Linked DNA regions of Cricetulus griseus. The protein of the gene in region 1 interacts with the protein of each later gene in a pairwise test. Links are inferred from orthologs where the notes say so. Each region holds a gene or a part of one and is shown in the gene's direction. Other genes may lie near its edges. The genes, in order: Meox2, Oit3, Chrd, Cntnap2, Igfn1, Mapkbp1 and Tcea2.

What was found.
Region 2: the proteins of Meox2 (region 1) and Oit3 interact in binary tests that used the Homo sapiens proteins (3 or more experiments, as listed by UniProt). The two-hybrid records come from large-scale screens. The link is inferred for Cricetulus griseus from reciprocal best matches to the Homo sapiens genes MEOX2 and OIT3.
Region 3: the proteins of Meox2 (region 1) and Chrd interact in binary tests that used the Homo sapiens proteins (3 or more experiments, as listed by UniProt). The two-hybrid records come from large-scale screens. The link is inferred for Cricetulus griseus from reciprocal best matches to the Homo sapiens genes MEOX2 and CHRD.
Region 4: the proteins of Meox2 (region 1) and Cntnap2 interact in binary tests that used the Homo sapiens proteins (3 or more experiments, as listed by UniProt). The link is inferred for Cricetulus griseus from reciprocal best matches to the Homo sapiens genes MEOX2 and CNTNAP2.
Region 5: the proteins of Meox2 (region 1) and Igfn1 interact in binary tests that used the Homo sapiens proteins (3 or more experiments, as listed by UniProt). The two-hybrid records come from large-scale screens. The link is inferred for Cricetulus griseus from reciprocal best matches to the Homo sapiens genes MEOX2 and IGFN1.
Region 6: the proteins of Meox2 (region 1) and Mapkbp1 interact in binary tests that used the Homo sapiens proteins (3 or more experiments, as listed by UniProt). The two-hybrid records come from large-scale screens. The link is inferred for Cricetulus griseus from reciprocal best matches to the Homo sapiens genes MEOX2 and MAPKBP1.
Region 7: the proteins of Meox2 (region 1) and Tcea2 interact in binary tests that used the Homo sapiens proteins (3 or more experiments, as listed by UniProt). The two-hybrid records come from large-scale screens. The link is inferred for Cricetulus griseus from reciprocal best matches to the Homo sapiens genes MEOX2 and TCEA2.

Annotation. Positions count from the first base shown.
Region 1 is NC_048598.1:164,594,808-164,598,946, reverse strand, and holds the start of Meox2 (homeobox protein MOX-2), read left to right. Parts: upstream 1-1,339; coding exon 1,340-1,853; intron 1,854-4,139. UniProt on the Homo sapiens protein: Mesodermal transcription factor that plays a key role in somitogenesis and somitogenesis and limb muscle differentiation. Required during limb development for normal appendicular muscle formation and for the normal regulation of myogenic genes.
Region 2 is NW_023276807.1:1,838,580-1,842,079, forward strand, and holds part of Oit3 (oncoprotein-induced transcript 3 protein), read left to right. Parts: coding exon 1-199; intron 200-932; coding exon 933-1,040; intron 1,041-3,500.
Region 3 is NC_048597.1:67,916,608-67,920,822, reverse strand, and holds the start of Chrd (chordin), read left to right. Parts: upstream 1-1,415; coding exon 1,416-1,563; intron 1,564-1,734; coding exon 1,735-1,904; intron 1,905-2,285; coding exon 2,286-2,415; intron 2,416-2,549; coding exon of another isoform or gene 2,550-2,555; coding exon 2,556-2,684; intron 2,685-2,769; coding exon 2,770-2,869; intron 2,870-2,973; coding exon 2,974-3,061; intron 3,062-3,404; coding exon 3,405-3,546; intron 3,547-3,656; coding exon 3,657-3,797; intron 3,798-3,879; coding exon 3,880-3,962; intron 3,963-4,036; coding exon 4,037-4,184; intron 4,185-4,215. UniProt on the Homo sapiens protein: Dorsalizing factor. Key developmental protein that dorsalizes early vertebrate embryonic tissues by binding to ventralizing TGF-beta family bone morphogenetic proteins (BMPs) and sequestering them in latent complexes.
Region 4 is NW_023276806.1:224,133,265-224,136,764, reverse strand, and holds part of Cntnap2 (contactin-associated protein-like 2), read left to right. Parts: intron 1-2,282; coding exon 2,283-2,393; intron 2,394-3,500. UniProt on the Homo sapiens protein: Required for gap junction formation. Required, with CNTNAP1, for radial and longitudinal organization of myelinated axons.
Region 5 is NC_048598.1:53,315,175-53,318,674, forward strand, and holds part of Igfn1 (immunoglobulin-like and fibronectin type III domain-containing protein 1), read left to right. Parts: intron 1-631; coding exon 632-934; intron 935-1,745; coding exon 1,746-1,834; intron 1,835-3,500.
Region 6 is NC_048599.1:58,519,701-58,523,948, reverse strand, and holds the start of Mapkbp1 (mitogen-activated protein kinase-binding protein 1), read left to right. Parts: upstream 1-1,448; 5' UTR 1,449-1,940; coding exon 1,941-2,057; intron 2,058-4,248. UniProt on the Homo sapiens protein: Negative regulator of NOD2 function. It down-regulates NOD2-induced processes such as activation of NF-kappa-B signaling, IL8 secretion and antibacterial response. Involved in JNK signaling pathway.
Region 7 is NC_048599.1:221,915-224,313, reverse strand, and holds the end of Tcea2 (transcription elongation factor A protein 2), read left to right. Parts: coding exon 1-10; intron 11-362; coding exon 363-517; intron 518-592; coding exon 593-739; intron 740-1,426; coding exon 1,427-1,696; coding exon of another isoform or gene 1,697-1,709; 3' UTR 1,710-1,899; downstream 1,900-2,399. UniProt on the Homo sapiens protein: Necessary for efficient RNA polymerase II transcription elongation past template-encoded arresting sites.

The DNA of each region.
Region 1 (4,139 bases):
TGAACAGTCCTAGCAGAGAGAACTGGAGAGTGTTCAGTGTGGTGTCTGCTTACAACAGACAAGCGGTGAGAAACAGAAAGGGTGAAAAGAGCACCTCAGACAGAAAAAGACAATGTTTGTCCGGAAGGATTAGAGGGGGCTGTCGATTGGCTCCTAAAGAGTTAAACTGGGAGCACATTTCATTTGACATTGCTTCAGATTATCACTGACCTAGGAAAACTTTCGGTGAGCTAATGGTTAGGAAATTGAGCGAGCTGGACTAGTAAAGAGAGGTGGGAGGAGGGTCTGAAAAAGGAGGAAAGAGACACAAGTTGGAGCAGCACTTGTGTGATGCCAGGGCATCAGAAATTGAGTCCATCTCTGCTTCAAGCTTTCCATCCCTCACTCAACCAGGTACCTTTCTTTTCCGCACTTAGAACAGCTTTATGCTATCATTGGGGCACAGCCCTGAAACTTCCAACCTGGCATCAGTTTTATTTTATTTTATTTTATTTTATTTTATCTTTAACAACCTATCCTCAGACAACTGAAAGGGGAAAACCATGTTGCGCTCCCGGGCGCGGGAACTGCGAGTATCGGAGTTTGAAAAGCTAGACTGCTCTAGCCTTTTCCCTTCTCTTGAATTCTCATAAGTTCTCCTGGTCCGCAAGGTCAGGGAGCAGTTCCGGAGCTCCTGCAGGTGACTCCCACCCCTACCCCCACCAAGAGCTGAAAGAGACTCGGGACGGGACACTTGGTGCTGGCTTAGCGAGACTGAGAGTGGGTGCGCGCCTGGCCATTGGGAGCCTATGGGACAGATCGAGGTGGCCCTGCTTATTAAGGCTCTGGACTCTCCACTGGCTGTCGTGGAAGCTCCCAGGGCCGGGCGGGCGTGGAGCAGCCGCTCCTGTCCTGCCAGCAGTTGGGAACTGGAAATGAGAGAGCATGGTGGCGCTGAGTGAGCGGGAGTTTTGGAGAGAGTTTGCATGTGGTCAGCTCTGGGCTCCTAAGCCAGCCCCCAGCTCACATTACACTCTATTTATAACCTCTCTGAGCCATTTCCCCCCCGTGAAAGCAGTTCTCTGGGACCACCTTCTTTTGGCTTCCACCTCTCCCACATTTGACATCTGAGCAGCTGCGAGGGAAGCTCCTCCAGGTCCCAGTGTTTATATGTGCAGGAGACTGGCCGCTAAGGCTCTGGACTGGGATTAGCCAGCTCTGCTCAAAGGCGCGACTCTTAGGGAGTGTGTGAGTGTGGGGGGAAAAAAGAGTTCTAGGATTTCCAGTGAAAAGTCACAGAGCTTGGTGGCCTTTGGGACCATCGTGAAGTCTTCTGCCTGGAAGTCCAGACTTGCATGCCATGGAACACCCCCTCTTTGGCTGCCTGCGCAGCCCGCACGCCACAGCACAAGGCTTGCACCCTTTCTCGCAGTCTTCTCTGGCCCTCCATGGAAGATCTGACCACATGTCCTACCCCGAACTCTCCACATCTTCCTCGTCTTGCATAATCGCGGGATACCCCAACGAGGAGAGCATGTTTGCCAGCCAGCATCACAGGGGGCACCACCACCACCACCATCACCACCATCACCACCACCAGCAGCAGCAGCACCAGGCTCTGCAGAGCAACTGGCACCTCCCGCAGATGTCCTCCCCGCCTAGCGCGGCTCGGCACAGCCTGTGCCTGCAGCCCGACTCGGGAGGGCCTCCGGAGCTGGGGAACAGCCCTCCGGTCCTGTGTTCCAACTCATCCAGTCTGGGTTCCAGCACCCCGACCGGGGCCGCGTGCGCACCAGGGGACTATGGCCGCCAAGCGCTGTCACCCGCGGATGTAGAAAAGAGAAGTGGCAGCAAGAGGAAAAGCGACAGCTCAGGTGAGTGCGGGCAGAGCACCTCTAAGGAGAGTGTTCCCTGGGCTGGGAAGGGGCAGGGATTTGCGAGAAGGTTCTCACAGACAAACTAAGGAATACCTAGCTCTTCCAGTCTCAGTGGCCTGGCCGAATTCGTCCTTGCAGCTTCGGCCCTGTAATTTGGGAGCACGTGTTTCGCTGAGGTTAATATATCTACGTCCAGCCCCTTCAAAGCCCTACAAGACCATAAACTAGTTTTCCAGCGGCGGTGAAAAAAGAGCGAGTGACAGTATGCGAAATCGGTTAAGGAGCATGGCGCTCCATCCACGAGTTGGGAGGGGTGTGAGCCTTGGGATGTTGCATCGGCTGGGCGTTCATGCCTGTGTGCATGCATGCGCTTCTTGGTTTTTCCCTTACAATTTCCCAATTCTGAACAGCTCGAGTTTTCCCATCCTTAACTGGATTTCTAGACTATTGCTCAATATCTTGAACTTTAACTGGGATTTGACAAAATACTCGAAAGAAAAGTTTTATTTTTTTCTTTTTTTAACGTTTCGCTTTCAGAGTTCCGTAAATAGCATTCTACTTAAAATAGTAATAATTTTAAAAAGCATTTAACTTATTTGCCGAAAAAGGCACTATCTAGAAATCTAGAAGTATTCAAGAAATACATCTAAAAATCGTGAATAAATAAATGGATGAGGATTTGAAGAAAGGTCATTCTTGATTAGACTCAGGTGAGGCTATCCTATGGGAAAAAAACAAACAAAAACAAAACAAACAAAAAAATCCCTGAACTTCGAAAGTGGAAAGTAAAAGCCTTCCTTGTTTGAGTAGAGTTTTGAGATGCTCCGGAGAGCACAAGAGCAGCTCGGACAGTGGTGGGAGAAGATGCAGCAGAGTGAACAGCGAAAGTGTGGATTACTTGAGCAGCTAAAGCAAAGGTTTCTCCCCAGTGGTTTCCAGGGCCTGAAAGTTCAGTAGCAAGTGCATTGTGGCAGTTCAGAGAAACTGAGTTTCTAGACAGCACATAACGCCCTTAGCTATAGTTCTCATTATTAAGATGTTTCTCTTTTTCTTCTCCTTCTTCATCCCCTCCTCCTCCTCCTTTTTAATTGCATCTTGCTCTGAAGGAACATGGCAACCTGGGTACATACTTTGGAAGATGTCACTTAACTAAAAAAAAAAAAAGTTTGCATCTATTTAATCTTTTGTGTTAGTCTATGGAGATTTAGGAAATGTGAATCTGGGCATTGGAAATAATGGAAAAGAATGTAGCATGTTAGGCAATTTAGTCCAGGTGTTCTGCAGTGTATGGCAGTAACTGCTGTGTATTTTAAATCATGTTGAAAAATGACAGAAACTTTTCTTGGCCTCCTTGTGGGGTGACCCTTACCAACCTGATGGTTGAACTTTTATTTTCCTAGGTCGGGGATGACTTTTTAATGCTCCACAATGATTAGCTGTGTCTAAGCAATTTACCAGCACTGTCATTGATTTGCAGTGGTTATCTTTAACTACATAGGAAATTCTAAGCTATTGAAAAGATACCAGTGAAAACGTTAGAATGCACTGGGGTTCCCCAGGCTGGGCATTTATGAACTGGAGTGCTTGGATGGCCTCAGCAGGTTGGTAGCTACCACAGCAAGAGCCAGAAGCACTTTTTCTTTCTGCAAGGGGAAACCATGGCCAGCTTCTTAGCTGAATCAATGCCCTAAAGATTATTTATGCACTCGAAGGAGTTTTTGTTGGGCCACAGTTATTTTTAGTTGCAGAAATGGAGAGTAGGACTAAAAAATTTACATCCTTAAGTTATTTTCATAAAAACCGACTTAAAATTGACTAACAGTCGTTTCCATCACATTTACCGATGGAAAATAACCACACAGCAAAGGGAAGCTTGTTTTCATGTTGTGAATCTCATTTTAGAACATAGAAACAAGCAAACAGAATAGAAATTTGTGTCAACCGGGGGTGTAGTAACGCTTGACAAGAACGGGAAGTATGATCATTAGCAAGGATACTATCATGGGGACCAACGTAGAAAGAATGTTTCCATTGATAGGCCATCACAGGCAAGCATCAGTTGTCTTGGTACACTTTGAAAATAAAATCTATATGTTCAATCTCTGAGTTAACATCGATTAGATCATAGGTAAGTTTAACTCCAAGCCATCTATCGCCTTTTTCAGTGAACATTCAACTGAAGATCAAGTCATCTGATACTCTTGTGTAAACATTTTGACTTACTAGAGGATAAAGTAACATAGAAAATAGTTATAATACTGTTCTTTTATCAACGCATAAGCC
Region 2 (3,500 bases), on another chromosome or scaffold:
TGTGGGACCCACGCACCCGTCTGGCTCAATGGCAGCCACCCCCTAGAAAGTGATGGCATTGTGCAACGCCAGGCCTGTGCCAGCTTCAAAGGGAACTGCTGTCTGTGGAACACCACGGTGGAAGTCAAGGCCTGCCCTGGAGGCTACTATGTTTATCGGCTGGCCAAGCCCAGCGTCTGCTTCCACGTCTACTGTGGCCGTAAGTACCTTCCCTGCTTTCTTCCTTCCCCAACAAGGCCACAGATAGAGTTAAAGAGAAATGCACCATATGAATCCCAGTCATTGTAACCCAGATTTATTTCATGTTTATTCATTCAAACATTATAAAGTTAGAAGTGATGGATCTCCAACTATCTGAGTACAGAAGAGCCCTCTGTGACCTACCTGTTGACACATGATCAGGTGGACAGATAGATGCCCAGACATCCACATGGTGCTCACAGTCATTGCTTTTTCAGAAATAACATACAATGGGGAGAGGCAATGTGACATCAATAATACCTTTAAGTGAATTTTTATGTCACTATCTCCATCAAAATCTGGAGGCTTTGTTAACATCCTTGATGGAAGAGCCCAAACCCAAGACCTCACAGAAGCCAGTGTCCCCAGCTCCTGCGAACGTTTTAGAGAGTCCACAGTGGAGCATGACCTCGCCCTTAGTCCCTAGCTCATATGCGCTCATGTTTTTAATTTGTGGAAGTCCTCTGGCCACCAGTGGGCCCACTCCCACTCTAGCTAGGAGTCGGTTATCTGAATGGACAAAAGCTGCCCTGTGCTGCTCATCTCCCTCCACTGGGTGATGCAGCCTGACCCATAAGAAATGTCGGAATGGTGTTCTGAGAACTTGGAGCCTGTGGCTGCATTCATGTGCCACTCAAAAGAGAGGGTCACCTGAGCCTCCCTACTCACAGAAGGTAATTATCCTTCCATAGATTTTTATGACATCTGTGATGAGGATTGCCATGGCAGCTGTGCGGATACTCCTGAGTGTACATGCTCTCCAGGAACCTCGATAGGCCCAGACGGACAGACATGCTTTGGTAAGAGCTACTCACAAAGTGGAAATGAGCCCTCAGGACGAAGAAACAAAGCAAGGCCCTGCTGCCATCCCACTTAGTCTCTGAGCATTTGCAATTGAGCTAGTCATTGTTAGACACAACTAAAGTCATTACAATCTCATGGTGTGACCAGGGGCAGTCTGAAACCTCAGTGTCGGCTCAAGTGACCACTGGTCCTTGTAGCTATAGAGCCACTGAAAAATGGCCAGCTTGCCTGAGGACCTAAATCTTAATTAAACTAAATTTTAATATAAAAACTGGCTTTTGATTGGCAAATAAAAAAATGCCTGGGATAACCCAAATGACTATATTTTGTCTGTTTTTACTAACTGTAAATACAGATTAAATGTTTCTGCTGAATATTGGCAGCCATTAAGGTGTGGTGCATTCCTGTAACTTTGGTGCTGAGGAGGCTGAGGCAGGAAAATGGTGAGTTCAAGACAAACCTGAGCTACATAGAAAAGACTGTCTAAATAAATAAATAAATAAATAAATAAATAAAAATAAAAAATAAAAGAAAGCCTGGAAAATTTGACATCCAAATTGAAATGACATCCAAAGTCATTTCAAAGTAGATTCCAAAAACATGTATTATTTTCTTACGCATATTTCCTTCAGGTAGATATAAAAATGCATATATATATATTATATATATATATATATATATAATACATATATATATATTTTCGAGACAAGCTTTCTTTGTGTAGCCTTGGCTGTCCTGGAACTCACTCTGTAGACCAGGCTATGAACTTCAGAGAAATGATGTAGGCAGATTTCTGTGTGTATGTACACAGGTCAATTTTAGTTTATATTTAGTTTTCATGTAAATGAAGCAATTTTAAACTTTTGTTATCACTTATTTACTGTGTATATGCTAGGTAAAGGACAACTTGCAAGAATTGGTTCTCTCTTTCCACCAAGATGGTCAGGCTTGGCAGCAAGCGCTTTTACCCACTGAAACAGCCCAACAATTTTATTTATTTGTTTGTTTGTTTGTTTTTTCGAGACAGGGTTTCTCTGTAGCTTTGGAGCCTGTCCTGGAACTAGCTCTTATAGACCAGGCTGGTCTCAGACTCACAGAGATCCTCCTGCCTCTGCCTCCTGAGTGCTGGGACTAAAGGTGTGTGCCACCATGGCCCGGCCAATTTGAATTATTTTTTAATTAGATTTTTCAGGCAGAAGGGAAGGGAGTAAGAAAATAGCAATGCAGATACACATGTACCCAGATGTAACTTTCCTTTTTTTTTTTTAAGTGAAAATAGAATTTTGATGTTCAAACGAGGCCATCTTGCTGGACTCGATCACCCCTAGGGCTGGCTGCTGCTCGAACGTCAGCCTGCTTCCTTCCCACCCTGTCACTAGGTTTTATTATTGCTGTGTGGATGCACCACACTATATCATACAGAATTAGCCTACATGTTAACATACAAATCACACCTCACGCCGTGTGTGACCTTTTCTCTAGGGTGTAAACATGCAGGTGGAATTGCTGGTGGTCAAGATTCCTACGATGGCTAAAAGTAATAGTCCCATGTTAATTTCTTCCTCACATTAACGAAAGAAAAAGAAGACGCAGTCCAAGGGTAACAGCCCAGGCTTGCCATGGAGGCCTGAAGGAAGTGCTAGCCTGGGTGTGGCCACACCTGCTGTCAGGGAGCTGCTGGCCTCCTGCCCTTCCTGGTGTAGGTAGTGCAGTGAAGTTATGATCCTACTCTAGGTAGGTATGGCGGCACACAGTGGAATCCCAGCACTTTTGGAAAAGGAAGATCAGGAGTTCAAGGCCAGCCTCTTCTGCATAGTGCACTCTAGGCCATCCCGGACTATATGAGTCTCTCATCTCATCTACTGTAGCTTTTTACTTCTGCAAGCTGTAAATGTTGGCTTCTTTGCAGTTGTGATTTATTTAGTTCCCTTTCTTTCCTCTTTCCTTCCTTCCTTCCTTTCTTCCTTCCTTCCTTTCTTCCTTCCTTCCTTTCTTCCTTCCTTCCTTTCTTTCTTTCTTTTTTCTAGTTTAAAAAGATGCTTGTATGGATTTCTAGATTGTTCTTTTACTACCAGTTCAAGGCCTCCCCATTATCTTGCCTGTCCTCTGTCATTGTGAACTGTCTGCAGTGTTTTATGTGAAACCCTCATCTAGCATTAGGGGTTTCCTGTGGCTTTCCACCCTTCCTTCCAGCTCCAAGGATGCTCTATTCTAGAGCAGTTTCCCGAATGTGTCTGAAGAAGTTCAGGTCAATTGCGTATCAGTTTCTCGGATGAAGATCTACGTCCCCAGTGAATGGGAAGTGTAAATCCACGCTTCAGACTGGCCCAGGGTCTCCACTGTTTGCACCTGTGTATCTCTCTCCTTTGGGCCTCCAGCTGGGAGCCTCCTAATTGCTACTTGTGGCAGAATTCTACTCTCAATTTTATCAAAATATGTATTAGTCCCTCTTGTTA
Region 3 (4,215 bases), on another chromosome or scaffold:
AAGGAAAACCAGACAGATTGACTGGACTCAGATGCCTTTCTTCTACAAGGGGCACAGGGACCTGAACAACTAACCACACAGCTCTGTTTGTAAGCCTGCCCTTGGTTGCCCAATGGCCCTCTCCCGTTCCTACCACTATACATGTGACAAGAGAAATAACCAGGCCCATCTGTCCCCGTCTTAGGAGAGACAGCTGCTGAGCCTCCCCCACAAATAACTCTGCTGGCTCTTCTCTTTCTTGCCTTGGTCCTGGCTCTAGCTCCGGTGCTTTCTCCTCAGTGCCTGTCTCCCCACGGTCTCTGTCCTCAGGGATCTCCTGGCCTGACCTTGTGCTCTGCCCTTGTTCTTCCTCAGGGTTTCTCCTGTGCCTGCTCTGAAGATGGGCTGTCCACTAAGGAGTATGGCCCAGATCCCGGAATTCTCTAGTTCAATCAGAAGAGATGCCTCCTAAGATTAGGAAGCCGGGTGCTGGGATGGTTGTGAGAATGGTGGGGGTGGAGGAGATGGGGAGGCAGGACAAAGGAGAGGAAAAAGAGTGGTCCCTTGGATGAAGGAAAGGGTGGGAAAGCCAGGTGATGGTTGGATGGACTTGTGAACAGGTTACAAGGGGGAGGTTATTACTCCACTGGGTGCGGGGAGCATTTCTTGATTCTGGCTTGGTCCCTGTGCCTGGGAACTCCAGAAAGAGAAGAGACCCTAGAAGGGAAAGAGGAATACAGCCTGAGTGAAAGGAGGAGGGTGCCCTGGGTCTTAGACAGGGAAGATCGTTGTCCTTTTCAAAGACAAGTCCTCATCCTCCAGGGCCCATCCTGCCCATGAGTGGTACAGGCCGGAGGCCCAGCCTCTGCCCTTTCACTTAGCTTGAGGCTCCTGTCTCTCTGGATGGATACCACAGGGGTGGCCGCAAGGAGTGTGTGTGGGGGTGTCGAAGCCCGCCTCTCCTCCCCCCCTTTGCGCCCCCTGGTTCCTCCCTTCCCCCTGCCCACTCCGCTCCCCCCTCCTCCAGTCCCTCCCTCCTCCCCTGCCGGGTCCCAGCCTGTCCCCCTCCCCCACTCGCGATCCGGCCGCTGCTGCTGGGCCGGACCCCCCGGGCTCAGCCGGGCTCCTTGCGGAGCCGCCGCCGCGCCCCGTTTGCTGAGGAGGAGGCCCCGGGCCGGGACTCCTGGCGCGGGCATAAAACGGGCCGGAGCCAGCGCCTAGGGCACTACAGCGGCGTACGGCCCGGGTCAGCGCCCAGCCGCCCGAGCTCTCCCGCCCCGCCCGGCCGGGAGCGGACTCCGCGACTGCGAGACGAGCCCCTCGCCACTGCCCCCCTCCTGGCCCCGGCCCCCTCCCGCCGGCCCGCCTCCGGTCCGGCCCTACTCCCTCTCCTGCTCCCTCCTCCCGCCCGCCTCCCCAGCTGTCCGCTCCGCGTCATGCCGAGCCTCCCGGCCCCGCCGGCCCCGCGGCTGCTCCTCGGGCTGCTGCTCCTCGGCTCGCGGCCGGCCGGTGGCACTGGCCCCGAGTCCCCCGCGCTGCCCATCCGTCCTGAGAAGGAGCCGCTGCCTGTTCGGGGAGCGGCAGGTAGGTGGGCTCCAGGGGGGAGGCGCGGGCGGGGAGTCTGGCTCGGGGCAAGTCTGCACCCACCGGGACAGGGCCCCGGGCGCAGGTGGCTCGGCGCAGCGGGAGGGCGGGAGGGGTAAGCAGAGGCGGCGGGGCGCAACGGTGCCAAGGGACCCAGGGCCTGGCGGGCAGAGCTCGGAGCAGGCATTACGGCACGAGCAACCGGACAGCGGCCGCCAGCCAAGCCCGTCCCCACAGGCTGCTCCTTCGGCGGGAAGGTCTATGCCTTGGACGAGACGTGGCACCCGGACCTGGGGGAGCCTTTTGGGGTGATGCGCTGCGTGCTGTGCGCCTGTGAAGCGGTGAGTGGATACCGCAGCTGCCCGCCCTACCCTAGAGGGTAGCGGAACGCTGGCGTCCTAAGCCGTAGTAGCCTCGGAGATGCTCAGGGGAAGGCTGGTCCTCAAATCTGGGGAAACCCCTTTCAAGTCTGCGGTGTTGACAGTTATTGATCGCCCACTATGTGACTGGCTTTTAGCCAACTTCCCCCATCCCATTGCAACCTTGCTAGATAAATGGCATTAATTAGCCTTACTTTGCAGACTTAGAGAAGTTAAGAAACTTGTCCAGGGTCATGTAACTTGTAAATAGCGGAGCTGACTGATTCCAGCAGAGGACCTTACCCTGGCGTCTGATGGTTGCACGTTACACTCACTTAATTTCCCTGTGTTCTCTGCCATCAGCCTCAGTGGGCTCGCCGTGGGAGGGGCCCTGGCAGGGTCAGCTGCAAGAACATCAAACCCCAGTGCCCCACCCTGGCCTGCAGGCAGCCGCGCCAGCTGCCAGGACACTGCTGCCAGACCTGCCCGCAGGGTGAGGCCCACTGTCTCCCGTGTTAGGGAGGGTGGAAGGCTCAACACTAGGTTCTGTGCGGCTTGGATCGCTGAGGAGGACTGGCCCTCCTGGTACCCTGCTGAATCTAGTGGTCTTATTCCTTACCCCCCCCAACGCAGAGCGCAGCAATTTGGACCGACAGCCAGCTGGCCTAGTCTTCGAGTATCCAAGGGACCCAGAGCACCGCAGTTACAGCGATCGAGGGGATCCCGGCGCTGGCGAGCGGACACGTGCTGATGGCCACACGGGTAGGCTGGGGTGGAAGTGGGCCTGACGAAGTTTGGGGCCAGCGGCAAGGGTTGACAGTGCTTAGGCCATCCTCTCTTCTCACAGATTTTGTGGCGCTGCTGACAGGACCGAGGTCGCAGGCGGTAGCTCGCGCTCGAGTCTCTCTCCTGCGCTCAAGTCTTCGCTTCTCTATCTCCTACCAGCGGTGAGACCAGGGAAAGAGCAGCGCGGCTAGGAGTAGTGAATGGGGGCATGAAAGGGGGAAGACTGCGGGTTCTGGATCCAGTCTCACTGGACCTTTCTTCACAGGCTGGACCGCCCCAGCCGGGTTCGGTTCACAGATCCCACCGGCAACATCCTGTTTGAACACCCTGCTGCCCCCACCCAGGATGGCCTGGTGAGATGATGCCACTTACGTGTACTTATCCAAAATGGGCACTTGCTGAGAGCATGGTTGGCATTGCCTCCTTTGGTTCTCACAACAGCCCAGTGGGAGAAAGGCCCTGACATTATGATGCCCATTTTACAGAGGAGGGAACTGAGGCTCAGAATAGCAGAATGTGATTTGTTCAAGGTCATTTGGCTAGCAAGTGGTAAGCCAGGACTTGAACTCAAGGATCCTGGGTCCTTTTTAGGAGGGTCTGGGGTCTCCCTTCCATACTCCTCCCTCACCAGGACTGGGCCTCTTAGCTGGCTTGTCCTGCATAGTGACTGTAGACTTCCTTGTCTCTTTGCTGTAGGTTTGTGGGGTGTGGCGTGCAATGCCTCGGCTATCTCAGAGGCTCCTGAGGGCAGAACAGCTGCATGTAGCCCTGGTGACACCCACTCACCCTTCAGGAGAAGTCTGGGGGCCTCTCATTTGGCAAGGTGCTCTGGCTGCAGGTAGGAAGAGTGAAGAGTTCCCAGATAGAAAAGACTGAGCCTTCTCTATCCAGGGGTGGGTGGACTCACGAGAGGCTCCTCTGATGGCTGTCATGCCCTCCATTCCCCAGAGACCTTCAGTGCCACCCTTACTCTGGAAGGCCCACAGCATCGGGGTGTAGGGGGCATAGCCCTGCTCACCCTCAGTGACACAGAAGACTCCTTACATTTTTTGTTGCTCTTCCGGGGTCTGCTGGGACCCAGGAATGAAGGTAAGCAGGTGAGAAGGCGTCCGGTGAGAGTATAGGGAGGGAGCTCAACTTTCAGAAATGCTCACATGTGCAGCCCTTGCAGGTCCCGCTCAGGTTCCCCTGAGGCTTCAGATTCTCCACCAGGGACAGCCACTCCGAGAGCTCCAGGCCAACACCTCAGCTGAGGTAAGGGGAGGCCTGGGTCTTGCTGCTGCTTGCTCTGGCCTCTTGTTGTCCACCACATTCCGCTCTGTTCCCAGGAGCCAGGTTTTGCTGAGGTGCTGCCCAGCCTGACAGACCAAGAGATGGACTGGCTGGTGCTGGGGGAGCTGCAGATGGTCCTAGAGAGGGCAGGTGGGCCAGAGCTACGCATCAGCGGATACATTACCGCCAGGCGGAGCTGTGACGGTGAGGCAGGGTGGGGCTCGGCGCTGTGGGC
Region 4 (3,500 bases), on another chromosome or scaffold:
GTGTACCAGGGAACATTTGGGATAGCAAATGTGAAGTCTCCAAGCAGGAGGTGGCTTGCCACTGAAAGAAGAGGACAGGAGTCATTGCATCTAGTCAGTGGTAAAGAAGGAGGTGAGTGAGCCACTGTAGGCTCCAAAGGACTTTAAACATCATTCCAAGTGATTGGAAGCAGATGCCAGAGCACACTCCGACTTCTGACTTCGCCATGAACATTCACCTGGGTGGAGCTGGGTCCCCAGTGACTCTAGTGCAATCAATGGTTATTCATTATCTCACTAATCATATATATATATATATATATATATATATATATATATATATATATTCAGATATATTACATATATGAGGTTAAAATGAAAACATTTGGAATGTTGTTACATTTCTTACTTCTCTTAAGGATACTACAATACCTCTGAGAAAATTCACATATATACAATTATACTTGTCAGTGGGTCAGATGTATAAGGATTTTGGGTATATGAAGTTTGTTTTAAAAATCTAATTTCTCAATGATATAACATGAAAAATTCTATATTGATTGCCAAAATTTATACATAGCCTTCCTTCTTTTCTTCTTGTTTTACTGGATCCATATGTGTTTTGGCTTATATGGACATGTAGTTACATAGACATATTTACATGTACTTTTCACTAGAGTCTATGTATTGGAGATAGCAGGTAGTTTATGTTGTTTTTCTTTTTATTTTCTTTATGTGATTGTGTGAGGTGATGAGGAAGAACAGACTGTCATGGAGATATGAAAGAGGCTATAAAGCTAATTTTTTTCTAATCTTCATTCTATCACAATTTTTTATTTTGTTTTGATAGTCGTTAAGAAAATAAAATGCAATCAACACTGAAAGGGTAAAATCTAATGTGAAGTTCCACAGCATTTGCTCCAAATGACTATTCTAACTGTAGAGACATTCATGGCGTTGTAGATCCTTTGGGTTAGGTTAATTTTAGTGTGATTATTCTAATTGTTTACAATAATTTTAATAATAAAAATTGTGACTAAAAATTCTCTAGCAGCTCCAGCCTCACAGTGAAATTTTTTGTGGGGATACATTTCCTCTACTGTAGACAGAAGATGCTAAAAGAGCAAGATGGTCAGTGGGGTAGCTGAGCAGCTTTATGACAGCAGCTGCTGCCGACTCCTTGTATTAGGTCTGCTGCCCTGGAGGTAAGAATCAGGAGTCAGCAATGTCCGGTGTGACAGGTTAGCACTGGAGGTACTCTCCTGCAGGGAGGAGAACAAACAGAGGAGGCCTGAACACTGGGAAGATTTATAAATTAGGAGATTAAGAAATATACATAAAAAGAAACATTTAAGAAGAAATGACATTTAAAAATTTTGGTGCCATTGAAAAGCCATGTGGACAAAGTTCTACAGATAGCTTCAAGGCAGAAAATCGTAAATTTTTAGATGGTACTCTTTTCCATGTTGACTGTTATTCTTGTTCTCCATTGTGATCAGTTATTTCTTTACCTCATTAGTAAGAACATTTTACACAAGACCTTCTATCTCAAATATTTAGGTACCTAAGACAGTATTATCATCTGCAGGCTCAATGTGATACATCTAACCTCCAGATCTTATTCATCCTGTGCAACTAAAATTACACATGTTGATTAGTGATTTCAACTCTCTGGCTTTGGGTCCTCTTAGTAAATTTCTTTCTAATCTCACGTCTTGAAATTTCCTTGTTTCCTGTCTTCTCTCTGTGATTCGCAAATACCCTGATCATATCTAGGTAATGCCACGTACAAAAGCTAGTAATGAAATAACTGGATTCCGGATTCTCCCTGTGATCCTTCAAGACTGAAATGGAGTTGTGGCCCTCTTGGGGCAATGCTGTTGCTTCTGATTATTACATCAGGATGATTAAAACTGCTTCTGTAGTTTATCACAATGGGTACAACTGAGATACGTAAATTGTGATCATTGGTAAAGGGTATGTTTTGGTGGGTTTTAAAGTCTGTACTATATTAAGTAGTTATTTTAGTGTGTGTGTGTGTGTGTGTGTGTGTGTGTGTGTGTGTACATACACATTTGCCTGCCATGAGCATCAGATTTCCTGGACCTGTAGCTAGAGATGGTTGTGACTTACCCCATGTAAATGTTAGACATTGAAACCAGGTCCCCTGCAGGATCAGCAAGAGGTTTTAACAACTAATCCATGTTTCCCTCCCATTGGTAGTTATGTTAATAAACACAAACTAACCATTTTATAAAGAGATTTAGCAAATTTAGCTTTCTCTGTCTCTTCTTTTTTTCCAGAAAAATGTGACGAGCCGCTCATCTCTGGTCTTCCCCACGTGTCCTTCAGCAGCTCTTCTTCCCTGTCCAGCAGCTATTCCCCTGGCTACGCCAAGATCAACAAACGAGGAGGTGAGCAGCATCTGATTCCTTTGTGGTTAGCCACATGCTATGCTTGTATTTGATGACTGACATATGCATCAGCACAACCAGTATTACCAATCATGTAAGCTCCTGATTGCCAGTCAATCTAGATGACATACAAATACCATAACTTAAAAAAATGACTCCCAATTAAGTATCTATGTATATAGGTAAAACTACATTGGAAATTCCCAGATTTTCTATGATATTTATACACATGGTTTCTGCTGCAAAAGTAGGATAAAAAAGTATAATAATTTCCCAAGTGTTTAGAAGGAATATTTGTTTTTAGAAGTGTATAAAAATTAGTTGTGTCTTTCTATTTATAGACTCTGGAAATACTGGTGAATTCACCTTGGTTCCAGTATCCCTGAGTATTCCTGTCCTATTCTGGATCACAGGTAGCAGTTGGCTTCAGGCTTATGCCTACTATGAGGCTTAGTCTTGGTCTTCGGAATGCACTCCATCACTTCGTTTTCTCAGCAGGCATCCCATGAGTTCCTGCAGCTGCAACATCCTCAGTTTTCCATCAACTCAGCTTCACTCAAGCAGCTACTTGCAATATCTTCTTATGGCTTCCTTGCAGAGACTCCAACCCTGACACACCTTGCTTGCTCTATGGAATTTTCTGGAATATTGTTACAAGTTTCCAATCCTTTCACATTGTACACCCACGGTATCAGCATTCCAATGATGATCCTGGCAAGCTAAGTGCAAACTGAAAATGTCCTTGGCACCCTACCACCATACTTTGGTGGCTTCTGTGCTTTCACTGGTGAAGCTAGGAAATGACTTCCATACGTAATAATCTCTAAGTAGCAAATCCCATCCAGACTCTCCCCTTTCAAATAAATCTGCATTTTCACAAGATGGATCCTTGAGTTGGTTGAATCTTCCCTCATGCCACTGAAGACTGAGGATTCTCCTTGATGAAACTGATCTCTCTAACAACTACCATGGCCTTTTCCACACTTTACTTTTCTACATCTTTAAGCTTGCTCATTTTCCTTTCCTCTCTTAAGTGCATGATTTTCAGTGTTTCTCCTCTGTCTTCCCGCAGAGCTCAGAATAGTGAAAAGTAACTGTTCTACAGGC
Region 5 (3,500 bases), about 110 Mb from region 1:
ATGTGCAGCTAACCTTGACAGCCAGAACACCACCCTGCAGTGTTACATTCAAATCACACACGTCATGCCTTCTGCTTGTTCCAGGGCCCCCATGGTAGGTCGAGCTACTGTTGTTCCCATTTAACAAATGAACAACAAAAAATCTGTGTTGTTGTTCCCAACCAAGAGTTACAATTCAGCATACAGACATAGAACTCCAGTCCCCAGACACAATGGAGCACAAAAGATTATTAACTAGGGGCTGGAGAGATGGCTCAGAGGTTAAGAGCACTGACTGTTCTTCCAGAGATCCTGAGTTCAATTCCCAGCAACCCCATGATGAGATCTGAAGACCTCTTCTGGTGTGCAGATATACATGGAAGCAGAATGTTGTATACATAATAAATAAAATCTTATAAAAAGATTATCAACTAAAATACCAGTTGTCAAGGGTTACAGGAGGATGGTTAGGGGTTGGCAAGTTGATGGGTGAGTAGAGGAGGTAACCAGGGACTCACATATAGCTGGGATACAATGCCAGTTCTAGGTAGGTTCTAAAGAAACACCTAAGTGAAAGAACTCTCAAGTCCCTGGCAGGAGGACTCCTCAGGGGAAGCTGACACATTCCTGAAATTTCCATGGTGCTTGTCAGGACCTCCAGGGCCTGTTCGGGATCTCCGGGTTACAGACACATCTAACACCAGCATCACCCTGAGCTGGATGAGGCCGGACACCCAAGATGATGATGAAGCCCAGGGGTTTATTGTGGAGTTGCGTGGCTCAGACAGCCTTCAGTGGAGCCCATGCCACACAGGCACTGTGCAGGGCACCACCTTCACAGCCAAGGGACTACGGCCCCAAGAAGGCTATTTTGTGCGGGTGACAGCAGTTAATGATGGGGGCCCTGGCGAGGCCACTTCCTTGGACTCAGTGGTCCATGCCATGCCTGCTACTGGTGAGTGTCACCTCCTTCCCCATCCTGAGTGCTAAAGATCCTTCCTGAGAAGCACTGTTATGCAGCCATCATCTGCCTTCTTAACCGAGGAATGGCATCCATCACTGAGCTAAGTGGACCCCTCTTAGGAATGCTTTCTCAAGATAGCTCCCTTCCTACATGGTTAATATTCTTGATCCCCAATTTACAGAGATGGAAACAAGGTCCAAGATGCTTTACCCGAGACATCACCATTGTTAGGATACAGAATTAGGATTTAAAACAAGTGACTCCAAGGCACAGGCACTGCTTAACTTAAGCCAGCACATGCCCAAGCTCCCTGTTATTGCGGGGTGGATTGTGTTTCCCTTTGGGCCTTAATTGCTAGAAGCAAATCCCCTGTCTTTTTGAGCTGTACCAACTCGCTCTAGTTGTCACAGTGGCAATAAGGAGACAATTACAATGAAAAGCACAGAGCTCCCGAGTCCAGAATCTTAGACTCTTGTTCTGGCTTTGTCCCTTACTTGATGCAACCAGGAAGGTCACTCTCTGACTGGGGGTTAATGGTGCTCTCACCTTCAAATAAAAACGTAGCTGTCCCCGGGATCCTTGCTCCAGACTAACCTTCACCTTCCCTGATAGTAGCCTTGTCTCTACTTCTGACCCTCTCAAAAGACTGTCCCTGTCAGCTCCTGGCCTTTCTCCCCAGTGTGCCCTTCCAAGTTTTCTCCATCAGACCATTACACTGGCTTAGCCTTCAATCTGCATGCAGGGTAACCTGAGCTAGAAGCCAACTGTGAAGAGAGGTGACAAGCCATTTTGTGTATTCTAGTTTGTCCCAAGTTCTTCATGGATTCCAGCACAAAGGATACAGTGATGATCAGGGTTGGAGACAGCATTCGAGTTCCTGTCTCCTTTGAAGTGAGTATACCTGGAAGAGTGTGTGGCAGGACATGGGGGCCCCAGAGCAACCAGGAAATTAGACAATCTCGGGGTATCCTTTCTTCCTCGTTCTTTTTTAGCCCTAGTCATAGACTTGGGCTTGTCTCAGAAATCAGCCCAGTGTGAAGTGGTAGGAAGGAAAATGGTTGTTGAAGCCACAGCTGGCATTTGGCTTTTTGAACTCCATTCTACTTTCCTGTACAGGGCACACACCCCTCTAGTGGTAGCTTCTAATACTGCACCTCCAAATTAGAGCACCCCCTCTCCTCCCCCATCGTTCATCTAAGTCTGGGGACTGAGGGAGCCCTTAGGATAGATAACCATTTTTGCCTTTAGGATATATTTTTGTGCAAGTGATACTAAGCCACTATCAACACCACCTGACTCCATGCATAGTAACTAAGGTAGTAGTTAAAAAAAATATGAACTGTCCCATGTCATCATCAGTCACTAGTTTGTCTCTGGACAATACCTAACCCTCTCTGTATTTAAATTTCCTCATCTCTCAGATGGTGTTGAGTGTTCCATCTCTCCCCTGAGCTGACCAAAAGGCTGAGAAAGTGATAGCAGTAACCTGGGCCTGTTCTCTGTGCTTTCCACGTGTGGTTAATGCCTGAACCCTCGGAACACTCCCATGGGTATAGTAGCATTCCCAAGTGCTCAAGACAGGGGTCCCACAGGCAGTTGGCAGCATTGTCATCCTCCACCTGGAGGGACTTAGATCCTAGACCTGACACTTAAGATCCTCTATGACGTCAGATATACAACCTGGAGAAGTTGGGCCATGCCACCCTGCACTTTGGCTCTTGAGACAAAGAGCTGACAGCTCTTTCTGTGAATGCACAGACCTCAAGGTAGAGGGGAAAGCAAGCCAGGTCCCCAAAGACAGAAAGAAAGCATAGACCATGTCCTGGTGAGGATTTCTCTAGGATGTCGTCTCATCATGCTGACCTTGGTGGTTGACTCTCCTACTCTCACTTTAAGCTGTCTCTCCGAATGTTCCCTGTCTTTCCGTTTTGTAACAATAAGTCTTTCTGCCAAGCTGCCTGAGCCCTGCTGCCACATGGGCGCTTTCTGCCAGGCTGCCTAAGTTCTACCTGCCGCCACGTTATGGTCCCAAGTAAGACACAGAGATTTATATTAGGTACAAATGCTGCTGCTTGGCCAATGACTAGGATTTCTCATCTGCTAGCTCAGTCTTAATTATCATAAATCTATATATTTTATAAGACTTATATGTTCTCACAATGCTTCTAATGCTCTCTAACCTCAAGGCCCACCATGCTGCCTCTGGTATAAGGTATTGTCCCTCTTAATGCTTTTGATCATGACCCTTGTGATGGGGAAGGTCTCTTTCCTAATTAAGCTGAAGGGAAATTTCATGTCAGCTCCTTTCCTAAACCTGCCACTCTCCTCTCTTTGACAGTTACAGTTCTAGGCTAGGCTGCATAATCTACTTCCTGCAGCTTTCTTCTATTGCAGAGATTTCCAAGTCATCTGCCTTGGGCACTGGGGAGGGAATACCCCTTCCAGATTAGTCTCTTTTCATTTGCACCCAGTACAAATGTGAATCAGAACCAGCTGTACCATCCCGGGAACATCTAACAGTGGCAGCACCCTCAGAGTGAAATCTAGATGTCTGCGT
Region 6 (4,248 bases), on another chromosome or scaffold:
CTATATAGTACCCAGGAACCTTCCTGTTTGAACAGTGCTTGTCCAAGTACCGCTAAACACTGATATTAGGGATCCTTCCCTCTTGCAAACCCACCATCTTCTTCAGGAATTCCCAAAGTCTGAGATGGGAGAGACACGTCAGTGTACTGTTCTACTTCAATACAGGTCTTTGGCTTAAGCTATCCTTTTCAGAAGGCATTTTAAAAAAATGTATATGGGTGGGTGTTTTGCCTATTCTTGTGTCTGTGCATCCATGTGCCTGGTGCCTATGGAGGCCAGGAGAGGGCGACAAATCCCCTGGAATGGTTGTGAGATGCCACTGAGGGGGCTGGTAATTAAACCTGAGTCTTCTGGAAAAGAAGCCAGTGCTCTGATTCATCTGTCCAGTGGCCCCCACCCGCAGGTAATTTCTTGAGGTAGTAACTAGATAGGAAATTCTAGAACTTCTAAAAATAAACAGACATGTCATATCTGTGAAGCATGAGTATGTATATCTCTCCTATCTCCATGAACTAGGGAGGAAAAAAAAAACCTGATAGCAGCAAGCTTGATATCGGTGTCAGCCCTGGGGGTGTTTGCAAATCTTGACAAGGCTGAGCAAAGATTTGGAGTGGCAAAATACCGTTAATGCTGTGAATCAAATGCTGTAAGGATGTTGGCAGCTAAGGAAATGATGGATGATAAAGGTGCACTCATTTACTTTTCTCTGTTTGCAGCCTACCTAAGGCTCCATTGGAGGCTTGGGTCTTCCATCCTTAACAGGTTCAGTTCAAAAGTGTGTGTTTCGTTACTCCACGTGAGTCATTGTGTTAGGCTGGCCGTAATCACAAACTATTCCAACCGTGTTAAATCCCAGCACTTGGAGTGGAAAGGAGTTCTTTTGGCTGCATCCCAACCTTTTTTTTTTTTTTTTTTTTTTTTTTAATGAGTTAGGAATTAAATTTCAGCCGTGGTCTCAGGCCTACCAAATACCAACCTTAGGCTTGGGGGCGTGGCTATCGTCTTGATCTGGGAAGTTCTCTGGGGGACCAGGCTTGATAATACCGTAAAAGGCCTGGTTCTCTCAATTCTAAAGCCATGTTATGCTGACCTTCCTTTAAGAGCGGTACCCACAATTATACCGTGCAGAATCCCGAGCCCTCTGCTTCCACGGTTCATTCTTTGGCTCCGCCCCCAGAGGCAACGCTCCTCCAGTCAGGAACCGATCTGCCGCAGACCGCACCCCCTTCGCCTAGGCCCCGCCTCCCAGCGCAGCTCGGCCCAGGCTCTAGTTCGCGTTTTGAGCCGCTGGTGCCACCATAGCTTCTGCTGCTGCGGCTGCTGCGGCGGGGCTGAAGCCGCCGAACGTGATCCCCGAGGGCGCTGTGAGCTGGGCCCGAGCGAACGGGGGCGCTGACGAGTATTAGGGGCTTTTGGAGCGGGCGGGGTGGGGGGAAGCTGGAAACGAGCTCCCAAGGCCAGGGTGGGGGAGGGAGGCTCCTGTATCAGATCCGGTCAGCACGAGCCCCGGCTGCCAGCATAGAGCCCCGGCCCCCTGCGGACCGTTCGGGTGGCTTAGGCGGCCTCCTCCCTTGGACACCGCAGTTACCATGGGAACACGGGCTGTAACCGGCGCCAAGCCCTTCTAGAGCCCATCCCATTCTTCAGTTAAACGCCTCTCGCTGGCGTGGGCCTGACATTTCTTTACTCTAGAGGGTCGTCCTCTCTTTCTAAGAAATCTAGCAGGCTAGGGTGGGGATGAGGAGTGAGAAAGGACAGGGCAATGCCCAGAGTAAGACCGGCTGACAGGCAGAAGACACCTACTGTGATGCCAAGATTGCTTCTGCCATCTCAGGCCAGTGAAAGTGTATATCCGAAGGCCCTGTTAAGCGAGAAGGCAGTACCACGGTTGAGACAAGTCCTAAGTCTAGGCCAGGGACTGTCCTTAGGGGCTCCTCGTTATGATGGCTGGGGAAGGGTCAACCATTACCAGCCGCATCAAGAACTTGCTGCGGTCCCCATCCATCAAATTACGCAGAAGTAAAACAGGAAACCGGCGAGAAGACCTCAGCTCCAAGGTGAGTCCTACTGGGAGCCACCTCTCCAACTCTTCCCTCTCTTGTACCTGTTCCCTTTCCACCTTTCTCTTTCTTGGGGCGGGGGGGGGGGAAGATAATGAAATTCCTCTGTTGGCTCTAAAAGATCAGATGTGCTTCTCTATGACTGCCTGATCTGAAGTTGGAAGAACAGCAGTAGGCGTGGGCGTGCTTGCTGAAACTCTGCCGTGGGAAGAAGTGTATAGGACCTCAGTTCAAACCGCGTGCTTGGGGAAGCTAGTTGACGCGCTATGACTCAGTTTCTCTTCGTGGAAGAGGACAGTGCGATCACATATTTGTGACTAATGTGGATGCATTAGTGTAACAGTTGGGGTTATGCCATACTATGCTTGCAAAAAGAAACATACTAAAACACTTCATTTGAGACATCAAAACAATGTTATGACGGGCTTGGTGATGCATGTCTGTAATCCTAGTACTAGGGAGTCAGAGGCAAGTTCAGCCTGGTCTATATAACAAGTTCCAGCCCAGCCAGGGCTACATAGTGAGACTCTATCCTATCTAAAAAAGACTAAGACGATTGGGCTAGGCTCAACTGGTAAAGACACTTGTCAATAAGCATGATCCTTTGACCCACAAGATGGCTCAACTGGTAAAGACACTTGTCAACAAGCATGGTCCTTTGACTTACAAGATGGAAAAAAGTAAACCAACTCTTGGGAGTAGTTCTCTGACTCCCACACATGGATGCACACATGAACACCCACAAAGAAATAAATATAAATTTTTATCTTGGGGTGGGAGGGTTTGAGACAGGGTTTCTCTATGGCTTTGGAAGCTGTCCTGGAACTAGCTCTTGTAGACCAGGCAGGTCTCTAACTCACAGAGATCCGCCTGCCTTTGCCTCCCTCCTGAGTGCTGGGATTAAAGGCCTGTGCCACCACCGCCTGGCTAAATTTTTATCTCTTTAAGAGACCTAGGTTTATTTAACAGGAGCTTCTTGGTTTCTCATGAAAACATGGAGCCAAATGTGTTTGAGAAAGACATCTTTCCTAGTTTGCGATTGTACACTGCTTATCCTGGTTACCATATGCCAGCATCTTCCATTCTTACACTTGTCTGGGGTTGGGTTTTTTATTGGTTTTTGGTTTTGTTTTGTTTCAAGACAGAGCCTTGTTACATAGTCCTATCTGGGTTCAAACTGTACAAATTCCTGCCAGAGTGTCCTGAGTGTTGCCATTCTGGCATGCCCAGCTTATGCTTTATTCAGCTTTGCTGGTCCCCACAATTTTGGGCATACAAAAGAAGAATACATTCATTTAATCCCTTGAGGGAATCTTGAGCATTATTCCCACAGGATCAAATTAGGTTTTGTGTCTTATTAGTAGCCTGTAACCACAATAGCTTTGTGTGGTACAGGATTGCTAAGGACAGAGTCCTTTGAGACAGCAGCATTTTATTGCCTTGACTGTGACTCTTTAGAGATGAGCAAACCTGTTGAGGAAAGACTTAGAGTTTAATGTACAATGTGGCAGAGTTCTTGGAGGACTTACCGAGTTCCTTAACAGAGCTGTAATTGGCTTTGGTAAGGTGAACAGCTTTCTTGTATATTCTAGCAGGGATTCTATTGAATTAAAATTTGCCACATGTTTTTATGGTGGTGGAATTACGGCCCCTTTCAAGCACTCTTACTAACAATTGTCCTATTCTCTAGAGGCAAAGAATGAGCCCTCCAACTTAGAAACTCTTAGATACAACTCTGCTTGTCCATTTTTTTTTTTTTTTTTTTTTTTTTTTTGAGACAGGGTTTCTCTGTGTAGCTTTGGAGCCTATCCTGGCACTCGCTCTGGAGACCAGGCTGGCCTCGAACTCACAGAGATCCGCCTGCCTCTGCCTCCCAAGTGCTGGGATTAAAGGCATGCGCCACCAACGCCCAGCCCTTTTTTTCTCTTTTATTTATCATTATTGTATCGTGATGTGTTGGTGCAGGTGCGCATGTACCGTGGTGTTGTGGAGGTCAAAATGGCAAGCACTTTTACCTGCCAAGCCACTTGGCTGGCCATAAAGATGTTCAAGCTGCCCTCCAACACCTGATCCTCCTACCTCTGCCTTATGGGCATATCCTAACTGGCATGGACCACCACAACAGGCACCTCTGCTGATTCATATCAGTACTATTAGACATATCTTCTCTTATCTTTGGGTTCTTTTC
Region 7 (2,399 bases), on another chromosome or scaffold:
ATCGAGGAGTATATCCTTTACACAGTGTATACAGGGTTAAAGGCTTCTGGTAGAGTCTGTAGGCCAGAGTTGTGCTTCTCCAGTAGCTGTTAGATAACACTGGTAGGTTATCCAGTGCCCTCTTGGGGTGATCCCCTGACCTTTCCTGGGCCATAGATGGGTAAGGGGCTGTGACTACTTGATAGATCTGGGCCTCAAACAGGAATGGGTTTAGAGAAAGCACAATATGATGGCCCCTCAGTTCCTCCAAAGGGCTTGGGTGGGTAAACTCATCTCCATGTTGCTGGGAAGAACATTTCTCATGTGACTCCAAGGAGGGGATGGAGCTCAGAAACCTCAGATGGGTCCTTAAATACCCTTACGCATCTTCCTGGATGTGGGAAACACAGATATGAAGTACAAGAACCGCGTGCGGAGCCGGATCTCCAACCTGAAAGATGCCAAGAACCCTGGCCTGCGGCGAAACGTGCTGTGTGGTGCCATTACACCCCAGCAGATAGCTGTGATGACATCAGAGGTGAGCCCCACTGGGAAGGGCTGGGGCAGGCTGTTTCTGCAGAGTTGCAGGCTGAACACTTGGCCCCTTTATCAGGAGATGGCCAGTGATGAGCTGAAGGAGATCCGCAAGGCCATGACCAAGGAGGCCATCCGTGAGCATCAGATGGCCCGCACAGGTGGCACACAGACTGACCTGTTCACCTGCAGCAAGTGCAAGAAGAAGAACTGCACCTACACGCAGGTTGGGGTCCACTCTATCTTCCTTGGCTGGGACCTCAGGGTATACCCATCCTCTTCTTGGATACCACCTATGTCCCTACTTCTGCTGGTCTGGGGACCTGTGCCAGGGCTAGGTGGCTTGGCCCTGACCAGCATGGAGAGACAGGAGTGTAGTATTGTTTGTTAGTGTCTGTAGTTACCTTCAGACCCTGCTGTGGAGGTAGAGGCTGAAGTATTCTGGGGAGACCATGTAGACTCCAAGAGGGGAGTGGATTAAGATGGTCTCTCTGGTAGACTGTTCCAGGGCTTGTGGAAGCTGTCATCATCTATAATAGGGCATGAGGGGCAGGGCCACTCAGTCCTCACTACCTGTAAGGACTGGCCCTAGCTCTGTGAAGTAAGGTTTTTTCCTTGGGTCTCCTAGATGGCCAGGGCCACTGGCATCTCTGCTGACTCTATAGAGGGTCACTATATAGACCCTCTTGTTGGGAATCTTGCACTTATCCAACATTCTACTCTACTGATCCCAGTTGTTCAGGCCCACAAAAGTCTCTTGTGGTGATCCACCTCCTCCACAGGCCCAGTTCTAGAAGGTTGAGAGGTCACTGGGAAGTTTCAAATCAAGTCATCAGTAGAGATCAGGGGGTATGAAACCAGGACTGTCCAGATCAGGGCAGCAAAACCAGGGATTCAGCCACCCACCCTACAGGTGCAGACCCGCAGCTCCGATGAGCCCATGACCACTTATGTTGTCTGCAACGAGTGTGGGAACCGCTGGAAGGTAGGTGGGTGGGCCCAGAATGCTCACCTCCAGTCCTGTCTCAGCACATATTGGACCTTAAGTAGGAACCAGGGCCCACTGTACCCAGCTAGCCTCCTGGGAGTCTCTGGGATGGAGCCCCATGCCTGTCCCATTTCTGCCCTAGGGGTCATGTGGGGCCTTGGTCAGATATTCTCTGCCTTCCTGCAGTTCTGCTGATCCCTTGTACTGATGTGTTGTCCTGGCCATGGCTAGCATTGCCCCCTCCTGCAATGTTCTTGGTGGACACAGCTTCTCTGGAGATCCCCAGAAGGTGGCATGCTCTGTCCCAGTCTGCCTGCCTGCCATGCACCTTTTTGCCCTTTGTCTCTCATTAAATGTTTTCTTTTGCCTTTCTCTGGCTCTGCTCCTGGTGAGCTATACACAGGCTTCAGTTGGGTCTTGTTCTTCCATTCCTTTAAACACCTCTCCTCCCTGGGCTCAGACAACACTTGAACTAAGTTGTGGTAGGGCAATATAGGCAAGAGCATGTCTGTTTTCCAGAGAGATCACTTGACATGTGATTCTAGGATATACTGCTTATATGTGTCCTACCATGCTGGCTGTATGGGCAGTGGCATATGAGACTTGTTAGAACAGGACCTTGCCCAGTGTTCACCCCTCCTCACTAGACATGGCAGTCCAAGGACCTGGTGTCCTTTCAGGATATTTTGCTCAGTCCTTCACTCTGCTCACCACATGGGGGAGGATGGTCTCTGGACTGAGATCAATTCTAGCTTCAAATTGCTGAAACTCCCAGCAACTTGGAGGATCAAAGTAGTGGGTGCTTTGCTTTATTGGACTCCTAAGATGAAAATGACATTGTGCCTAGCTACTCTGAGGAGGCCACATCATCAGCTTTGTCCCTCCTAGCCTCTAGGAA